Linked DNA regions of Drosophila melanogaster. The protein of the gene in region 2 purifies or fractionates together with the protein of the main gene of each other region. This does not show direct contact. Each region holds a gene or a part of one and is shown on either strand. Other genes may lie near its edges. The genes, in order: CG14641, fand, Bx42 and Prp19.

Region 1 (4,000 bases), on a different chromosome or scaffold from region 2:
TCTGGATCTTTTTTGGCATGGTGGCAGAGAATAAAAGTGTCTGTCGCTGGCCTTTGAAGAAAGAGAATATCGTACGAACGTCCTCTTCAAATCCCATGTCAATCATGCGGTCAGCCTCGTCCATGCACAAGTACCGGCACATGTCCAGCGTAAGGATCTTCTTGTCCAGCATATCCATTAGACGACCAGGGGTCGCCACCACAATATGTACGCCGCGTGAGATGACGTCAAGGGCCTCGCTGACCGGCAAACCACCCATGGCCAGGCAGGAACGAATCTCAGGCATTCCGCATGCCTGGAGGTGCTTGCTGTAGTGTTGAATTATCTCGTGTGTTTGCTTGGCCAGTTCGCGGGACGGGCAAATGATCAGGCCGTAGGGGCCCTCGTTACGCTCAAAAGGCAGACTATACTCCTGTTCCAGGGCAAACATGATGACTGGCAGCACGAAGACAAGCGTTTTTCCAGACCCAGTGAAGGCTATTCCAATTAGGTCGCGGCCGGCTAGTACAGTGGGCAGGCCTTGCACTTGGATTGGGGTCGGGTTCTTAATGCCTTTGGCCGCTAAGCCGTTAAGTATACCTTTAGGGAACTTCATTTCCCGGAAGCTGCGAATTGGCGGGCTGGGGGTTTCTCCCTCCACTAGGATCCTCAACTCGTGGCGAACGGCCTCGCGCTCTTCCTCCGACATTTCCCGAATGTAACGCGGCGGTTTCCAAGCTGTTTTAATAGGCTGCTCGTACTGAATCCCCTTCGCCAACTCTGCCACACCCATAAGGGCCTTCTGCTGAGCAATGCTCTCCATAATCTTTTCCTCCTCTCGCAGCTGCTTTTCGACGGCACTCAACTTTTTGGCCTCGGCAATTTTCTTCAGTTCTGTGTGCTGGTCCAGCAGACTAATGTTGTACTTGCGTCCCCAGGTCTCGACATCGTGCGCACCCTGCGAGTCGTCTTCATTCTCATTCTCGCTTGACGACTTGGGCTGGGCCGTTTCCGAAACCAGTTGCACGATCCTGCCCAGCTTTATCATGTGCTGCTTCTTCCGCTCCTTCACCGGTACGTATGGCACGTAGTCCTCGTTGTCCAGGTCGCCTTCCTCCGAGGACTTAGACGACCTCCGATACCGCTTTACGTGCGCCATAGCATTCGATCTATATTTCTGATTTTTGTTTGTTTCGTTTTCGCCTAATTTGACTACAACAAAGGCCACCGTACGACGTTTTAAATTAGGCGAGCCCGAAAAATACTATATTCTAATGGGTATCGATTACAGTTATTAAACAGTGATTCCACTGACAGCTTCTTGCTTATGATATATTCATGGCATGCAGACCGGATAATAGTTTTTTTTTCAATTTGGGCAAAATCTTTCGATTTCGTTTTTAGGTGCTCTGGTTTTCTGAGTTTGAGATTGAGTCTTTCTTTTTTTGTGAAAACCAAGCAACGTGAAAAATGCAACTTTTAGCGCGAAGGTTGCCATACTGTTGGTGAAATATAACAGGCAGGTAAAAATACTTAGTAAATATATTTAAAGCAGGGCCAAAAGTGCTGTTCGTAAATAATGATAATTAATTGAATAACATAAGTGGTCAGAGCGCAGTGAATACGTAACTGCGAACATCGGAATTAAAAGTGCCAAAAACTCTGTGTAAATCGCCCAGAAACATTTTATATGAACTTATGCGTGCTATCAAAAGTGTTTCAGGAACATTTCTGTTAAACGGTTAGCGAACATGAATAGTACAGAATAGTAGAATATCGTATTGATCGGTTTCGGATCAGTCGAATGCAATATATTTTTGTGTGCATTTGGGTATAGATATATATTCTAAGCAGTGTGAATATGCTATTAAATTCAATAAATTATATCGATTGCTGACTTTGAACTAACTGTCTGCTTCTGGCTCAACTTATCGATATTGGTATATCACTCGCGACACACCACCATTTTCGACAAGTAGAAAGCGAATGAGCATTGTCTAAATTTAGCTCGGATTTTAAGTGCAAGGTACATAAGTGCCGCTGCTATGTCTATGTCAAAAACGACTAACACCTATAACCGGCAGAACTGGGAAGATGCTGAATTCCCAATTCTGTGCCAAACTTGCCTTGGCGACAATCCGTACGTGCGGATGATTAAAGAGCGGTTCGGCAAGGAATGCAAGATATGCACGCGTCCATTCACAATATTTCGATGGTGTCCTGGTGCTCGTATGCGCTTCAAAAAGACGGAGATATGTCAAACGTGTGCGCGCCTGAAGAACGTGTGTCAGACCTGCCTCTTGGACCTGGAGTACGGACTGCCGATTCAAGTACGAGATGCGGCGCTCAAAGTGGCTGACAATATGCCACAAAGCGACGTTAACAAGGAATACTACATCCAAAACATAGACGCCCAGCTGCAGGACGGAGATGGCACGGAGGCGGCAGGAGCTGTCGGTCGATCCCTCGCCGCCAACGAGATGTTGTCCAAGCTTGCGCGCACAGCACCCTATTACAAAAGAAATCGGCCGCACATCTGCTCCTTTTGGGTTAAGGGCGAGTGCAAGCGTGGAGAGGAGTGCCCATACCGCCACGACAAGCCCAACGAGCCGGACGATCCGCTATGTGAGCAAAACATCAAGGACAGGTACTACGGACGCAACGATCCTGTGGCCGAGAAGATCATGAAGCGTGCAGCCTCGCTTCCCACACTCGAGCCGCCGGAGGACCGCAACATCACAACTCTCTATGTGGGGAACCTTCCTGAAGAAATCACGGAACCCGAGCTGCGAGATCAGTTCTACCAGTTCGGCGAAATTCGATCAATTGCGCTGGTGCCACGCCAGCAGTGCGCTTTTGTGCAATACACCAAAAGAAACGCTGCCGAGCTGGCTGCTGAGCGGACCTTTAATAAACTGGTGATCCAGGGCCGGAAGGTGAGCATTAAGTGGGCTCACTCTCAGGCAAAGCAGGGCACCGCTGCAAAGACAGACAGACGCTTCGACTTGGCCGGCATTCCACCGCCTAGCGCGAAGCCCAACGACTACTTCAATCTTCGCCAAGAGCAAATCAATGTCATGCCCGCCGGCATGAAGCTGCATCAGTTGCCATCAAATCTAGTTCCGGCGTCGGCTTACCAAATGTATGGTCAGCCTACTTATGCAGCTCCCTACGGAAACGCCACTTCCACAGCCCTTTCTTCCTCGGGTGTCAATTTGGATTCCATATCGATTCCTCCGCCACCGGGTCAAGTACCGTATCCAAGTCAGGACGCCAGTCGGATGGGAGCTGTTAAAAAGTAGGAAAACCCTGTGGTCTACAATGGTTCCAATTCAATAAATCATTTTTATAAAATTAAATACAAACTTTTTAAAGTGGTCAGTTCCATAAAAATGACTTAATATTAATAGAATTTATCCGTATGGACGAAATTGTTTTCGATTCGAATTGTTAAGAAAAAACACCAAACAATTAGAGAGGAGAAGATAATAATAAATGATTTAAACTCTAAAAAAAAAAAGAAAAAAAGAACAAATTTTCGTCACAAAAGCTTATATCAAAACTTTTGTACATATGTATGTTGATGTGCGTTCGTCACTCGTTTTTACCTTTAATAAATGCTTTTCTTTGATTTGGACGATATTTGGGATTAAAAAAAGTACACCAATGCACATGTACATATGTAAGTTCATTCTTCAGTATTTATAGGGGAACTTAACATTGGGATTATGACTACCTCCCTGCATTCCATTCATTCAGATTTCATCAGCTCATTACTGATCATTAAAAATCTCGATCAAATTAATCACAGGTTAATTTGTATTAAAAAAAAAAACCATGACCTGAACCTATGTTCTAGGAAATCATCGCATAGCGCAAAATCAAAATCACGCATAAGCGCTATAAATGATAGCTCAATTCATCTCTCTACACCTCTTTTTATTCACTTAATCCTCTATCAATTTTAATGAAAAAGTGAAATTTCAGTCATTTATTAATAAAAATGTATTTTCTTAATTAG
Region 2 (5,031 bases):
TGAATATGATATAATATTGTTAGCAGAAGTCATCTCAATATGATATTTTATAATTAGCAATGTTTTTAAGCTATTTTTAAGTGAATATGCTATGGTTTTTTCAACTCTTTTAGATTATTTACAATTTTTAGACATAATAATCATTTTAAAAAATCTCATTTGAAAACAACGGGCATTTTTAATTTTAAGAATTAAAAGTTTTCCTTGAAATAAACCCGAATCTTTGCTGGGATTTTAGCCAACTGAATTGATAAAGCTTTTCCGCTGGCAGTTAAAAAAGCTGCATGCGGCTCAAAGCTGCAGTGGTTTTAGCCGCCTTTGTTGTTGCTGTTGTTGCTGGCGGGCGGCTTAGTGTGTCAGTTTAGTGGGTGGCAACAGTGCGAAGAGAGGGGGTGGCAAAGAGAGAGATATTGGGCCACAGCCGGCAAGGAAAATCTAAGCGCTTTTCCGCACTTTCGTGTGTGTTTTCTGTTTACATTCAATACGGGAGGCCCTAAAATGCCCAAAATTTTCCCTCGGGCAACAAGAGCGAGTGGAAAATTTTTGAGAACCATCATAAACAGCTGTTCGGGAAGCGGGGAAATAGATTTTCCGGTGGTGGTTTTTTTTTACCTAGGATCCAGTCTAATTGGATTTACCTGGACCAATTGGAGTGCGGCGGCACACACAAGTTTGAGCCTGTGCGAAAAATATAAAATCAATGCAGGAACAAGTGTGTGCGAAAATATTTATGACACCCACCCACTCACACGCTCGCACACACACACTTGCAAGCACACGCACACGTGTGACGTGTTTTTTCGTGTTTTCCCCTCGTCTTTTACTTACCACTGTGCTTGGTTTTTCCACGGTCGTTGGGTATTACTTAAAACTTAATTCGATTGATAGTCGTTCTATGCTGAGAAATGTTTCAAGCGCGTCATTTTGATCTATTTTTATAGTGTTTTTTTCGATAGACTTTGATTTTTTGCCTTTGGCTGCCAACTCGCCTGCGCTCCTCACTCTCTTTGGCTCTCTTTTGCACGGCTGTGTGTGTGTGTGTGTGTGTTGGTGCACTCACGCAGTTGCCTTCGTTGCGTAAATTATGCAAAATGCAGGCCAATTGCAATGTGTTTACAAAAACAGAACAAACGATCGCGTTAAGTGTGTTTTTTGCGATTTTACGAGCGCGTTAACTGGTCTCTGCGAAATACGCAAACGGTATGAACGTCAAAATATTGGCAGCAGCGACGAAAACATCTGCAGATGGGCTTACGAAAAATTCACAAACTGAGGCCAGTGTTGGGCAGCGGACGAAGGGCGAAATACCAATTCAAAGGGAGGCAAAATATACCGCAATGGTACTCTAGAAAATTCACGATTGTTTTGGTTTGTCCATAACTTCAACGTTTAAATAAGGTGCACTTAGAAAATTCTAGATGTTCACAATTTGTAAAAAAAATGTACACAAGCCAAAGTTATCTTAGTTTTATGAACAATTTTTCTGTATTCTTAAAATATTGTTTACATGTTAATTAGGATTTAATTACTTTGGTATTAGCTGCGGTATCTTAATACCACTACTTTTCAAACCTTCTGGCAACGCCATTTCGATCAGCTGTTTTCGTGGGACGCGCATGAGAAAATTATTGTTTGCGGCATTTCATGAAAATCGCGAAAAATGGTGACAAAAACGATAAAATCTCTGAATTTAGAGATCAATTTCGTAAGTACCATGAAATATATGTAAATCACAACTAACCTATCAAGTTTTTCACACACAGGAAGTGGAGGATGTGCCGTATGAGGAGGAAATCCTTCGAAACGCCTACTCCGTAAAACATTGGCTGCGCTACATTGATCACAAAGCGAAGGCGCCGAATAATGGTGTTAACATGGTCTATGAGCGTGCTCTGAAAGAGCTTCCTGGCAGCTATAAGATCTGGCACAATTACCTGAGAACTCGCAGGAAGCAGGTGCGCGGCAAGATACCCACGGATCCCATGTACGAGGAGGTCAACAGTGCCTTCGAACGTGCACTGGTGTTTATGCACAAAATGCCACGTATCTGGATGGACTACGGTGCCTTCATGACCTCGCAATGCAAGATTACCCGCACCCGGCACGTTTTCGATCGGGCTCTAAGGGCTCTGCCCATCACGCAGCACGGCAGGATTTGGCCACTGTATTTGCAGTTTGTACGCCGCTTTGAAATGCCGGAAACAGCACTGCGAGTCTACCGTCGATATCTGAAACTCTTTCCCGAGGACACAGAGGAATATGTGGACTACCTACAGGAAGCAGATCGGCTGGACGAAGCTGCCCAGCAGCTGGCGCACATCGTCGACAACGAGCACTTCGTTTCCAAACACGGCAAGTCCAATCATCAGCTGTGGAACGAATTGTGCGACCTCATCTCGAAGAATCCACACAAGGTGCACTCCTTGAACGTGGACGCCATCATTCGCGGTGGGCTGCGTCGCTACACCGATCAGCTGGGCCACCTGTGGAACTCTCTGGCGGATTACTATGTGCGTTCCGGCTTATTTGATCGGGCAAGAGATATATACGAGGAAGCCATTCAAACTGTGACCACCGTAAGAGACTTCACCCAAGTCTTTGATGAATACGCACAGTTCGAGGAACTCTCGCTGAACAGACGTATGGAGCAGGTAGCTGCCAATGAGGCGGCCACCGAGGAGGACGACATTGACGTTGAACTGCGGCTCTCACGCTTCGAATACCTCATGGAGCGCCGTTTGCTGCTGTTGAATAGTGTGCTTCTGCGCCAGAATCCGCACAACGTGCACGAGTGGCACAAGCGGGTGACACTGTACGAGGACAAGCCCGCCGAGATCATCAGTACGTACACCGAGGCCGTGCAAACAGTGCAGCCGAAGCAGGCGGTCGGCAAACTACACACTCTCTGGGTGGAGTTCGCCAAGTTCTACGAGGCCAACGGACAGGTGGAGGATGCTCGTGTGGTCTTCGAACGCGGCACTGAGGTTGAGTATGTTAAAGTAGAGGATCTGGCGGCGGTGTGGTGCGAATGGGCAGAGATGGAGTTACGGCAACAGCAGTTCGAGGCGGCACTCAAGCTGATGCAAAGGGCGACGGCCATGCCAAAGCGAAAGATTGCCTATTATGATGATACGGAAACGGTGCAGGCGCGCCTTCATCGCTCGCTAAAAGTGTGGTCCATGTACGCGGATTTGGAGGAGTCATTCGGCACATTCAAGACGTGCAAAGCCGTCTACGAGCGGATTATTGATCTGAAAATCTGTACGCCACAGATCATTATCAATTACGGAATGTTCCTCGAGGAGCACAACTACTTTGAGGAAGCCTACCGAGCCTATGAGAAGGGCATCTCTCTGTTCAAGTGGCCCAATGTCTACGACATTTGGAACTCTTATCTAACCAAATTTTTGGAGCGCTATGGCGGCACAAAACTGGAGCGAGCCAGAGATCTCTTCGAACAGTGCCTGGATCAGTGTCCTCCCGAGCATGCTAAGTACTTTTATTTACTGTATGCTAAGTTGGAAGAGGAGCACGGTCTCGCCCGGCATGCCATGTCGGTCTATGATCGTGCCACGTCTGCTGTCAAAGAAGATGAGATGTTCGACATGTACAACATATTTATAAAGAAGGCAGCCGAGATCTATGGCCTGCCACGTACCCGCGAGATCTATGAGAAGGCCATCGAATCGCTGCCCGAGCAGAATATGCGCCACATGTGCGTTAAGTTTGCTGAGTTGGAAACGAAGTTGGGCGAAGTGGATCGAGCTAGAGCCATCTATGCTCATTGCTCACAGGTATGATAATATATATAGATTTCTAATGCATCACTTAATCTAATTATTGTTTGCATTCTTCAGGTTTGTGATCCCCGCATCACTGCAGACTTTTGGCAAACTTGGAAGGAGTTCGAAGTGCGTCACGGCAACGAAGACACAATGCGCGAAATGCTGCGCATCAAGCGCTCTGTGCAGGCCACTTACAATACGCAGGTGAACATGATGGCCGCCCAATTCCTGAGCACAAACAACGGAGCGGCTGCGGATGCTGGAGCAGGAGCTGGACCGGATGCCATGCGATTGCTGGAGGAGAAAGCTCGCCAGGCGGCAGCCGAGTCCAAACAGAAGCCCATCGAGAAGGCGGCCTCGAATATTATGTTTGTGCGCGGTGAGACTCAGGGTGGTGCTAAGGATAAAAAGGATACGGTCGTCAATCCTGATGAGATCGACATTGGAGACAGCGACGAGGACGATGAGGAGGAGGACGACGATGAGGAGAACGAGATGACGAACGAGAATCAGGCCAGTGCAGCGGTCACGAAAACCGACGAGGAAGGCCTGGTCATGAAGAAACTGCGCTTCGAACAAAAGGCCATTCCAGCCAAGGTCTTCGGCAGCCTCAAGCCCTCAAATCAAGGCGACTCTGATGGAGAGTAAATGTTTATACATATATATGACTTTTTTCGGGGTAAATACATGTATGTCGAAAGTTTTACAATTGTAATTGATCGGTTTTTATGTTCTGGCCTCAATTAGATTCTTAAATGGTACTTTGATATTAATTGTTGTCAAACGAAGGGGGCCTGTTAGATATTGTCTCCGTTTTGGATGATCTAGTTAGTATAGCCTTAGGCCAAACAGAGGAACACACTTTCAACTGTCATTCCAAAATTGTTAGGCACTTCGTGATCTAAAAAAGCTAACCAGACGTGCGCAAGGGCGGACTAACCAGGACTAACCACACACCGTGTATCTCGAAGATGGCATCCACACGCATGATCAGTGCTTTTACGCGCAATCCAAGATTATATCAACAGGTCACGGCACCCTGGAAATCGTACAATCTGTTTGGAACACCACTTTTTAACCACAGACTTCAGCCAGCGGATTCTCAAATCTGGAGGGGATTAGCAGACAAGTGTGACAACAAGACTGTTATCAAGGGCGTGGTGGTGGGCGTCTACTCCAAGGAGGGCGACGGTAAGGAGGTCAAGATGACGTCCAGCGGCGAGAAGTTCGACGACCGAACTCAGGG
Region 3 (4,869 bases), on a different chromosome or scaffold from region 2:
GAAAAGGTCAGCTGCGAGGGCTATATAATATGGGATTACTGCTGCTTGGGCGTATGGAATAGGGTGCCTTCGATGATATGATTGTTGTTTACCATCCACGACGCGGGCACGCTCAACTTACATAATATCAGATCGGTTGGGATCGCTGTGGATCGTTTGTTGTGGTTCGGCGGAGTGGAGGAGGTGGTGCTAGAATCCCAGAGCTCCTCGGAACACCTCGCGGCCGCTAGAAGCCGTTGAATCCGTGGAATTCGCCGCGAGGACAGCGCATTCTCTCCGGGATGCGGCGGATGGCGGTGTGGACCGTTGCCGTTCGAGTTTCGACGTTGGGCTGCTCACTTATTTGCGAATAAATCGAATAAAATTGCAATTAAACTAATGCAACTAAAGTCAACTCAATGTCACACAGTGTGACCAGCGTGCGTGCGGACGATAAAGCTGCTCTAAAAATACCGGCGAAATACTGTTTTTCATTTATATTTTGCGTAGTGAACAAATTTGCAAGTTTAAGAAAACATAATTTGGAATAATATATGTAGGCAGGGTGACAGTCAATTACTGTTACATTTAATCAAGTACCTTAGGATTGGTTATTTCTTAAATACATTATTTGCATTCCTATTAATTTAACGGAATTCAACGGAGTGGTATAACACTACAAAAAAGGTCCGCTAGAAAGCTTATTGGCAAAAGAGGGTCACTTTATTCTTTGATTATAGGCGCCAAAAAGATGGTCATCATATTTTAAAAGTTTCTATCATACTATTGCTTATTTTGTATTATATTCTAGATCCGGAAGCCAGTATCCTTGCTCCCTCGGCTTATACCTTCTCCCGCATGGATGCGCACGTGAAGAGCAATCAAACCATCGCCGTATGTGGTCACACCACTGATCTTTCACTGACCAATCTGTGATTCTGGATCGGATGTGTGCTGATTGAGGTTCCTCCAAGCGCACTTATGCCAAATAACCCGTAATTACACATTCATGTTTATGTCAAGATCCTGTGATTATTATTGAAATTCTCGCCAAGTTGTTGGAGTAGTTAAAAAAAACGTTTGTTTGGTTGGTGAATGGTGAATAGTGTTTGCAATGATGATGATGACGATACAACGATGATTGGTAATCCTCACGCTAAAGCTTTTGTCTAATCGCGCTTGCTGCGCTTGCGATCCGAATGGCTGCTGCGCTCGTTGTTCTTCTCCTCGGCACGCTTGGGCGCCTTTTTGGCCATGTTCAAGAACTGATCGAGACCGAAGGGATCCTCCTCCTTCTCGAACTCAACGGGTCCACTCCTCTGGCCAGCGGCCGCCTCCTTGGAGGCACCGGAGAACTGCTTGTCTGGCACGAAACGCTTGGTATTTACAATGGCATCCAGATCACCGCCGTAGTTATCGCTATCCGCCTGCTTGCTGGGTCGGTAGATGTGAGCGCCCAGTGTATTGGAATCGCGCCACGGCTTGTCGTACACATTGTACGCTTCGTCATCACCGTAACCGGAGTCCATGCCCTTGGTGGTGTTGAATAGACGCTGATCGAAGAGCGTTTCACCGTTGCCGGCACTCTTGGCGGGCAGACCCAAAGCGATTTGCTCAGAAATGTCACGCTCCCTCTCCTTCTGCAGTTTCGATCGCTTTTCGGGAGCCGCCCGCTGCAGGTTTCTATCCCGCTGGCGCTCCCTTTGCCGCTCTGCCCGCAAGTCGTTGCGTTCACGCACCTCGGATCCTGTAGCTCCGGAACCAGATGGCTCGGCTGCCTCCGGATTGCGTAGTCCCGCTCGCTCTTCGCGAGCCCGCTGCGCCATCATACGCAGCATATCCTCCTTCTTCTCCTTCTCCTTTTGGGCCAGCTTCTTTTCCAGCTGGGAGCGTGCCTCCACCGCCTCGCGCGCCTTGCGATCGGCTATGTACAGCGCCTCGGCCATCTTGGCGAACTTCTCGTTGATGTGCACCTGCTGCAGACCGCGTCCATCGGCTGCCAGACGCTTGTCCAGTGGAATGGTGTAACCTGATATCGAGGCAAAGATTTAATTAGGATAATGAAGAGGATTCTAGTTTTACATTAGCTCGCACCTTTGGCGTTCTTCCAGTTCGATATGCAGGGCGGGATCTTCCACTCCTTTTGCTCCTTGACCGTCACCTTGCGCGATGGTGAGTGGAGGACAGGTGCCGGCGGCGATGGTGGACCTCGTGGAATCTTTTTGTTAATGCGGAACTTGGGCGGCTCCATCGGATCGAGCTGCGCCTCCACCATCCGGATGACACGCTGCTTGGCGCCCGAATTGAAGGTATCGCCCTGCTGCGAGGGCGTGTACCGAATGTACTGGGCGGGACCCGCCTTCTGGGCATGGCGCACGGGCAGCGCTGAGGTGATCTTCTGGTTGGTCAGCTTCTCCAGCGCCAGGCGCGTCTCCTCCGTCGTCTCCATCACCGTTTCCTCGTCCGGGCGCTGTAGTTCATCCGCATCTTCGGCCAACACCTCCGCCGGCAGCAGTTGCGAAATGGACGAGTACACAATCTTGTCCTTGCCATGTCCTTGGCGTGCTATGGCATCGTATTTAACCTTTCCCTTGTCGTCCAGGCGAACGGCCAGAGCATCCGACTTCTTGCCAACATTTCCTGGTGCTCCCAGACCTGTCGAGAAGATGAAGAAGACGCAGAAATTGTTTCAATTGAATAAGCCACGCTTCAAAATGCTGATCATAAAATACAAAAATACAACATTCTACAGCAAACGTTTAACTTAATGTGGTGGAAATTGAAGCCTTCTCGCTGTACAATCACCCACATATAAGAAGCTAATGGTTATTTCCCTTACGAGGACACCATTACCAACGAAAAACCGCGACAACATTGTTTGCAAGCACAGAGAAAGTGGGATTAGCACGAACGGGAACCCACCTAGTGGATATTGCGCCACATGGATCTCCGGGAAGGCGCCGCCATCGCCAAAGTCCGCATCCGTATGTGGTACCCAATCCTTACGCTGTCCGTACGGCGGAGCAGCGATTTTGGCGGAGACCAGGGCTCCGATCTTTGGTGCTCCGCGGGCGACCAGGCGACGCTCGTCCTCCCGATCCCAGATCGCGTTCGTCGGCGTGGGCAGCAGGCTTGATAGCGACATAGCTTATCTGTTATTTGTGGCGAATCAATTCTTATGTGAAATCACTTTTCAATATGCAAGCCACAAAAACTATAATGGAAAAGTCGAAAAAAAAAACACGCACGCACACGGACACACACAAGCGTACGGGTGTGTAGGGTTGCCAGACTGCTAATAAGAAAATGCTATAGAGTATGGTCCCTTTTAGGGATGGATTGCATATATTGCGTTTTTCTTAAGACGTAAGAAAACCAAATTGGTAGAAATAACAAAGCGATAGCTTTTTCCAAATTTGAACGCGAATCGGTAGTGGATTGGTAATGGTCATCAAACATCATCAAAATTTGCAAAAAATGGTCAAAAAATTGAATTTGCATTTTTGAACACAGTTTGATTTGAAATTTTATTACGAGCTTAACGAGGTATGACATTCCATATTTGGACCATTATTTCGAATGTTCTTATCAAAATACTACAATATGGTTTATAAAAATCAGGGGCAATCAGAGAAAATTTGAATAATTTATTTTTATTACCTTAACAGAACTGTGCAATACTTAAAAATATAATTTATAGACATCCCCCTAATAATTAGATAGATATAAGTGACACTTGCCCGATCGATACTATCGCATCGCCCTAGCCGCTGGCAGTGCCATCGCTAGCAGTTCAGTCAACAATTTAAGTTTTTGTTTTTGTTGGCCAAAAACACAATACAATGTACACATTGATGCACGGCTTCTACAAATACATGACTCAGAAGGACGACTACTGCGTGGTAATCCTGGGCCTGGACAATGCTGGCAAAACGGTAGGCAGCTGAATCATCCAATGAAAGCCTCATGTCCAATCGGAAACTAACACCTGTGCCCACGTAGACTTACCTGGAGGCCGCCAAGACCACGTTTACGCGTAACTATAAGGGCCTCAATCCGAGCAAGATCACGACGACGGTGGGCCTCAACATCGGCACCATCGACGTGCAGGGCGTACGCCTCAACTTCTGGGATCTTGGTGGCCAGCAGGAGCTGCAATCTCTCTGGGATAAGTACTACCAGGAGTCGCATGGCGTCATCTACGTGATTGATTCCAACGACAGGGAGCGCATGGAAGAGTCCAAAGCGATATTTGGTAAGCGAAAACAGTCTTCGAACTAATCCCTTGAACAAAACTCGTTTTGATCTATTCTGATGATCTCTGGTAAAAGGAAAAAGGTTCACCTAAAATGTGTTATTCTCTTTCCCCACAGACAAGATGATCAAGAACGAACTGCTGTCCGGAGTGCCTTTGCTAATCCTGGCCAACAAACAGGATCTGCCGGATGTGATGGGCGTGCGGGAGATCAAGCCAGTTTTCCAGCAGGCGGGTGCTTTAATCGGGCGGCGAGATTGCCTCACCATTCCCGTATCCGCGCTGCACGGCGAGGGCGTGGACGAGGGCATTAAGTGGCTGGTGGAGGCCATCAAACGACATGCGGTGGTGCGGCCGCCGCGGGAAAACGATTAGAAGATCAAGCAGAAGACATCTGGGCCTGGTAGTCGGCCCTCCACTGGCTTTAATTAGACATGTACTTTTGTAAGTTAGGGGCTTAGGATAACGCTTATTTGTAATTAGCCAGACGAGATTGCGAGATACCAATTGTAAAGATGCGTTGTCATTATTTGCAAAGACCTTTCTTTTCGGTTAACTACTGCTGAGAAAATGAGGAAAACAATGTTAGAAAGCTGTGAGACTTCTGCATAGGACAACGAATTACAAATACTATT
Region 4 (6,167 bases), 4.9 Mb from region 2:
TAAAGATGAACAAGAAGATGAAGCCGTGACAGAAGCCATGCCAGAAAGTACTTTCAAATATGACACAGACACAGATTATGGTGAACCTGCTGAAGAGTATACTGGTCTAGTAATTGAAGAGATTCCCTCATCGAATCAGACTGTGGCAGCCATTAAGAAGGAAGTGGAGGCAGAAGGTCCCCTACAACCAAAAACTAACTTCCCATGAATAAGAAATCCGAATCCGAATAAAATGAAATATGCATCTTAATGAATACAACGAGTAACTTTAATTTTGTCTCTGCTTTTTCTTTTGCTTCCCCGTTGCCCAAGTGTCCAGTTGGAACTCCAAGCCCTCCCGTCGCTGCCTTACATTCTGCGGAGTTGCATAGGAGGTAGCCTGCCGGCGATTCTCGTCAAAATCAAACAGATGATCGATTCGCATATTAAGCTTCCTGGCCCGCGTGCCTGTGCTCCAATGATCTTTCTCCCTGCGCGGCTGGAATTCGTTTTGCACGACCTTCCGACGGGGCACATGCTTCAAGGCCGTATCCCAGTCGCCGGTTTTCTTGAGGTCCAGCATAATGTTGATCATCTGGTTTAGAGTTAGCGACTTTCCCGAACCGGAACCCCACTGTAGGTAGCGATCCAGGGGCAGTCTCGCCATCCGAAGGCCCAATCGTTTGGCTTTGGCCAGCGAAAGGGGTTCGTTGTTCATAGTGTCTACCATGGCGCCCACGATGTAGATGTCATCTGGGTTGTAAGTGACCAGATCCTCCCGGCAGTGGGGCGTTAGGTAGACCAGGTTCTGCTTGGGAAAGAGTTCCGTAAAGCACTTGCTATGCAAATTTATCGGGAACTCTGGATTGTGCATGGTGGGGATGTAGCGTTGGAGGCTCTGCATGCATCTGCTGTCCATCTGGGTGTTGCAATAGTGCAGATCGAAGGGCTCATCATTCATCCGGTTCTCCGCAAAGCACATCATCAATTGCTTTGCTGCATAGGTAGCCTCCCGATTGTTCATGTGCTCATCGTAGGAGCAATCCAAAACCATTTTGGGGGCAAACTGCATGGCCCGTGTGAGTCGGTTGTTCTGCCAGTGATTAATAGTGGTATCATAGATACGCAGAAACAACGATGTGTGTCCCAGGCCATAGATAATGTGCGTATTCTCCTCGCGCTCCTTTCGCATCTCCGCAACCCGCCGCTCGGCTTCCTTCGCTCGCTCTGCCTTCTTGCGTTGATCCGCCTCCTTCTTCATCTCGATTTGCCAGAGATAGCCAAAGTACTTGATCCTAGCTGATTTTGTGGGTAGCGTCAGCACGTGCTCCCAATGATGATCCTTAAAGAATTCCAGTGACGGCACCCGCCGACCCTCCTGGTGGGCAATGTCCGCCTCCAGCTGCAGCACCTTGAGTCGCTTATCCCGTTCCTCCTTGTTCTCTGATATCGTATCATTACTTAACGCAGGAGCGGGCTGGGAAAACGGATTGACGAACTTTTTTTGGGGTTCCTCTGTGCCGGCTATCAGGTTCTCTGCGCTGGAGGTTTTGGAGGCTTGCCTCACTGGTGCGGCACATCCCTTTAGCAACTGGCTGCCCAGACGCCATCGTGCAAAATGCTTCAGCATTTTAAAAATATACCTTAATGGCAGTAAACTATGTTATAAAACTAGATCGTGAATTGAATAACAGAAACAACGTGCTAGGGTTGCCAGCAATTATGGATTGTGCGTGCGGAACTGTGATTGGCAAAACGGTGAGATAGCTGATTGATTTAAGATATGTTACTCACTTCTCTATCAGTAAATGTCATTTATCTATAAAAACTATTGTTATGGATTAAATACTTATTGAATGTGTTGTGTTATCAATAAAATAAATTGTTTAAATTCTAGCTAGTTTTTTCTGTGCAAATTTCTAGCCAAAATCCATTTGATCTGGCAGCCCTGTGCTCGAAACTCCCGCGTCGCCGAGTAACTGGCATAATAAGAAGAAGCGGCTTTGCCGACAATTTTGCGCTTGGCTCGGGAAAAACGTGTAAAACATTTAATTTACCAACAAGACTACGCGAAAAGCGACATAATCACAAACAGCAATGGCTTTGGTTTGCGCACGTAAGTGAATAATTTAGATTTTGATTTGAATTGGGCCATTATGAATCGCACTTTCCATTCCAAGTGACAAACGAAGTCCCCGAGACGCCCGTGGTTTCCCCGCACTCGGGAGCCGTTTTCGAAAAGCGGGTGATTGAGAAGTATCTGTTAGAGAATGGCTGCGATCCCATTAGCGGCAAGGAGCTGAAGCCGGAGGAGCTGATCGAGATCAAGACGCCGGCTGTGGTGAAACCGAAACCGCCAAGTGCCACCAGCATTCCGGCCACTTTGAAAACGATGCAGGACGAGTGGGACGCCCTCATGATTCACTCGTTCACACAACGCCAGCAGCTGCAAACGACGCGCCAGGAGTTGTCCCATGCGCTGTATCAGCACGATGCCGCCTGTCGTGTGATTGCCCGCCTCAATAAGGAGGTGGCCGCCGCTCGCGAAGCTCTGGCCACGTTGAAACCGCAGGCGGGCATTGCCAACGCACCCACGGCAATACCACAACCGGCCCTGGCCTCTGAGGCTGGCGGAGCTGCTGCCCATCCCATGGAGCAGGCGGGCATGAGCGCCGAGGTCATACAGAAACTGCAGGACAAGGCCACGGTGCTGACGCAGGAGCGTAAGAAGCGCGGACGCACTGTGCCCGAGGATCTGGTTACAACGGATCAGGTTAAGAACTTCCTTACTGTGGCATCCCATCCCGGCCTACACTCGGCCTCCGTTCCCGGCATTCTGGCCTTGGACATCAACAGTGCTGATCACAGTAAGATTCTGACCGGAGGCAACGATAAAAACGCCACCGTGTTCAACAAGGACACAGAGCAGATGGTGGCCATCCTGAAGGGACACACCAAGAAGATCACCAAAGTCATATATCATCCTAACGAGGATACAGTCATAACCGGCTCGCCCGACATGAACATACGCATCTGGCACGTGCCCACTTCGCAGACGCAGCTTCTCCTGCGCTGCCACGAAGGACCTGTTACTGGCCTTTCGCTGCACCCCACTGGCGACTACTTGCTGTCCACATCATCCGACAAACACTGGGCATTCTCCGATATCCGCACAGGACGCCTGCTCACCAAGGTAATCGATACCGCCGAAGTCGGGCTGACGACAGCGCAATTCCATCCTGATGGTCTGATCTTCGGTACGGGCACCGTGGACTCGCAGGTTAAGATCTGGGATTTGAAGGAGCAGAGCAATGTGGCCAACTTCCCTGGTCATACCGGTCCCATTTCGGCCATCTCCTTCTCGGAGAACGGTTACTACCTGGCCACCGCTGCAGATGATGCCTGCGTTAAGCTGTGGGATCTGCGAAAGCTGAAGAACTTTAAGACAATCCAGCTTGATGACGGCTACGAGGTCAAGGATCTGTGCTTCGACCAAAGCGGAACCTATCTGGCTATCGCCGGCAGCGATGTCAGGTAAGTGAATTGTACTTTTCTTATTGAAATCATTCAGAATGAGGTTAAAATAAGTTTTAAATTGTATTCATTTAATGTTTTAAGTATGGTGTTGTTGTCTAGCTTAGACTTTATTTTTCCATCGTTGCTCAACCTGCTGATCATGATGCTTCTTGAAATGCGCCATCCAGTTGTGTAGCCGGTTCTGCTTGACTAACGCACGGCGAGACATTTCCTTCTCCGCTGCCATGCGACGTCGAACCTGCTGCTCGACACTTCGCAGCTTGCTCGGTTCGATGTGGTCCAGTTTAGCCAAGAGCTCCAAAACGTAGCCCTGGATTTTCTCCACCTTGGCAAGAGTCGTGTCCTGTTCGTCCGCGTATGTAGACTTGGGTGGCGGTGGTGGAGGCTGCATGTCTTCCAGTGTTCGCCATTGCTTGGACGACTTCTGGGCTGCTGGCTTGGATGGCGGCTGCGTAACCTCTCGCTTTTGCTCCGGCTTAACTTTGTTTTGGATTTGCTTGAGAATAATTGGTACAATAGCATTTAGCTTGATATTCAGCTTGCTGGAAATTAAGAATATAAAATAGTTGATTCAAATATGTACGCATCCCAACTCACTCCTTGCAGTATCTCTGCTCGAAGTCATTTAATAGACCCTTGGCACGCTCCTGAAGACCTGCCACCCGTCGCTGCAGGAACTCGGGATCCTTGAGGAACACATTGGCTTTCACCTGACGCTCGTACGTCTTCTGGGCCTTGTCATGGAGGATGGCTACGATGTGGTTCAAGATTGCCAACTGAGAAAAGCGCCTGTTGTAGTTGGACACCTTTAAGCGATTTCTCTCATAGCCACGTATCCAAATCTCTGCATTGAGATGATTCCGCTTTGCCAAATACGGACGCACTATCTTCTCCATGTAGTCTTGGACTTGACGCACTTGCTCGAGACCCGCTGGATGTCGTTCGGTGATCTCCATGGCTACGATTTCCTGCGGCATGCTAAGCCTATTGCTGGCATCGTCTCCCTCGGTTTGCTCCTCCTCAACTGTGTCATCAAAGTAGCTGATCAGTTTGAGTAAATACTGAAAGCGACCGTAGACCTCCTGCACTTCCATCAGCACTCGCTGATGCTCCAGCTTCACCTCGTTCAGCTCTTCGCTCAGTTTGCTTTCCTTCAGTGTCTTCAGCTTTTCTTGGGCCTCTAACATTTTCTTAAACTCCTCCGCTTCCATTTTCTTGAGCGACTCCTCTGCAAACTTGTGAAACTCCTCGGCCTTTTCGTATACATTGTCTTGGTATTCCTTCTCGCGTTTTCGGTCCAAAAAAAGTTCTTGCGTAGCATAGTACATAAAGCGATTGCGGGTAATCTCCCTCAAGAGTAGGATGTCCCTGAAAAAGCTGTGAAATTGCACCAGCACATAATTCATTTGATTCCTTACGTTTTCATGCGAAATTTTCTGGCCAAACGTTGCGCACTGGCGTCCTTAATATAATCGGGATCGATGGTGGTGACCACACAAGGAGCACGGGGATTGGCGATCTCTCCGCGCTGAGGAATATTAATAAAACTTAACTTTGGAAATATAAAAATTAATTATTTCGCACCGCATTGAAGTCCTCAATCGATAAGTTTATGGGCTTTGGAGGCTCCGGTTCCACATGGGTCTTGGGTCGCACGAAATCTTGAAGAGCAGCATGCATTTTTAAGTCTTCGCATATTAGAATATAATACTTACTTTCATATTCGCGGTAAACTTTTCTTTTAAACTTTCGCATTGTTAAGTTAAATTCGCCAAAGAAGATTCCCTTAGTTAACTTGTTTATTTGGTTGCCACGGTACAAATACAAATTCTGACGGTTGCTTCGTTTTATTTACAGGGTTTACCTGTGCAAGCAGTGGCAGGAACTGAAGGTATTCAACGACCACACGGCCCTGGCAACGGGCGTGAGATTCGGCAAGCACGCCCAGTATCTGGCATCCACCAGCATGGACCGCACCCTGAAGCTCTACGCCATCGAATAAGTCCACACTTAGTAATTAAGTCCAAAATTTTCTTATACAATATTCCCTAATGATTGTGTGTTTTCTTGAACAAATCTTGCAGAATAATAAACCTGACCCTCTATCCAAATAATTCAGAATACGAAATATCTTTGGGTTACTTTTGGAAACCAGCAGACAAGTTTTTCCTTAAATACTAACAAAATCCTTAAAGATTCATAATTTCAAGTACTAATATATTATCGTTTAAACTTTTCCGCAGACTATTCATATTCATTTGATTCACTTTTGATGCATACACTTATTAACTTATTCATTTCGGAACTTGGTACATCATTGTTTTATCCTTATGAGGCCGAGATCTGCTTAAGCGGTCGCTCCAAATAGGAGGCCAGTGACATGGCCTTTTGCTTCAGAAGACCCAATCCCACCGTTTGCTTGGCGTACAGGCACAAAAGGACACTGGCAACCTGTAAAAAGGAATATAGTTAAGATTTTATAGAACGAATCCCTGCTAAAAAAAAGAGGATCACCCACCTGTGTGATGGCCACATGACCGTTTTCACAATCGATGAGCACGAAAGTGAGGCGACCTTCGCGAAAGGCGTTGCGTCCATGCTTCTCGTAGGCCGCCCATATGTTGCTGGCTATGGCCGCCGTTATCCTGGCA

What was found.
Region 1: the proteins of fand (region 2) and CG14641 purify together in Drosophila melanogaster (affinity purification with mass spectrometry, with the first as the bait; 2 studies listed by BioGRID). This does not show direct contact.
Region 3: the proteins of fand (region 2) and Bx42 purify together in Drosophila melanogaster (affinity purification with mass spectrometry; 2 studies listed by BioGRID). This does not show direct contact.
Region 4: the proteins of fand (region 2) and Prp19 purify together in Drosophila melanogaster (affinity purification with western blotting; 2 studies listed by BioGRID, with this or other methods). This does not show direct contact.

The regions. Positions count from the first base shown.
Region 1 is NT_033777.3:4,230,267-4,234,266, reverse strand, and holds CG14641 (uncharacterized protein), read left to right. Parts: upstream 1-1,924; 5' UTR 1,925-2,024; coding exon 2,025-3,281; 3' UTR 3,282-3,488; downstream 3,489-4,000. Other genes in the region: abs (abstrakt), read right to left, coding at 1-1,138.
Region 2 is NT_033778.4:13,592,066-13,597,096, forward strand, and holds fand (fandango), read left to right. Parts: upstream 1-1,578; 5' UTR 1,579-1,660; coding exon 1,661-1,705; intron 1,706-1,763; coding exon 1,764-3,794; intron 3,795-3,857; coding exon 3,858-4,433; 3' UTR 4,434-4,492; downstream 4,493-5,031. Other genes in the region: S-Lap5 (Sperm-Leucylaminopeptidase 5), read left to right, coding at 4,757-5,031. UniProt on the Drosophila melanogaster protein: Subunit of the NTC(Nineteen)/Prp19 complex, which is part of the spliceosome. The complex participates in spliceosome assembly, its remodeling and is required for efficient spliceosome activation. Essential for efficient pre-mRNA splicing.
Region 3 is NC_004354.4:9,103,324-9,108,192, forward strand, and holds Bx42 (Bx42), read right to left. Parts: upstream 3,282-4,869; 5' UTR 3,125-3,281; coding exon 2,902-3,124; intron 2,635-2,901; coding exon 2,074-2,634; intron 2,009-2,073; coding exon 1,149-2,008; 3' UTR 547-1,148; downstream 1-546. Other genes in the region: Arfrp1 (ADP-ribosylation factor related protein 1), read left to right, coding at 3,822-3,914, 3,982-4,234, 4,353-4,609. UniProt on the Drosophila melanogaster protein: May play a role in chromatin structure and function.
Region 4 is NT_033778.4:18,446,818-18,452,984, reverse strand, and holds Prp19 (Pre-RNA processing factor 19), read left to right. Parts: upstream 1-1,943; 5' UTR 1,944-2,076; coding exon 2,077-2,095; intron 2,096-2,159; coding exon 2,160-3,513; intron 3,514-3,564; exon of another isoform or gene 3,565-3,616; coding exon of another isoform or gene 3,617-4,058; intron 4,059-4,113; coding exon of another isoform or gene 4,114-4,884; intron 4,885-4,934; coding exon of another isoform or gene 4,935-5,044; intron 5,045-5,100; coding exon of another isoform or gene 5,101-5,177; intron 5,178-5,231; coding exon of another isoform or gene 5,232-5,271; exon of another isoform or gene 5,272-5,373; coding exon 5,374-5,518; 3' UTR 5,519-5,624; downstream 5,625-6,167. Other genes in the region: Dnaaf3 (dynein axonemal assembly factor 3), read left to right, coding at 1-208; rswl (roswell), read right to left, coding at 269-1,609; CG30120 (uncharacterized protein), read right to left, coding at 3,617-4,058, 4,114-4,884, 4,935-5,044, 5,101-5,177, 5,232-5,271; Lamtor2 (late endosomal/lysosomal adaptor, MAPK and MTOR activator 2), read right to left, coding at 5,845-5,967, 6,035-6,167.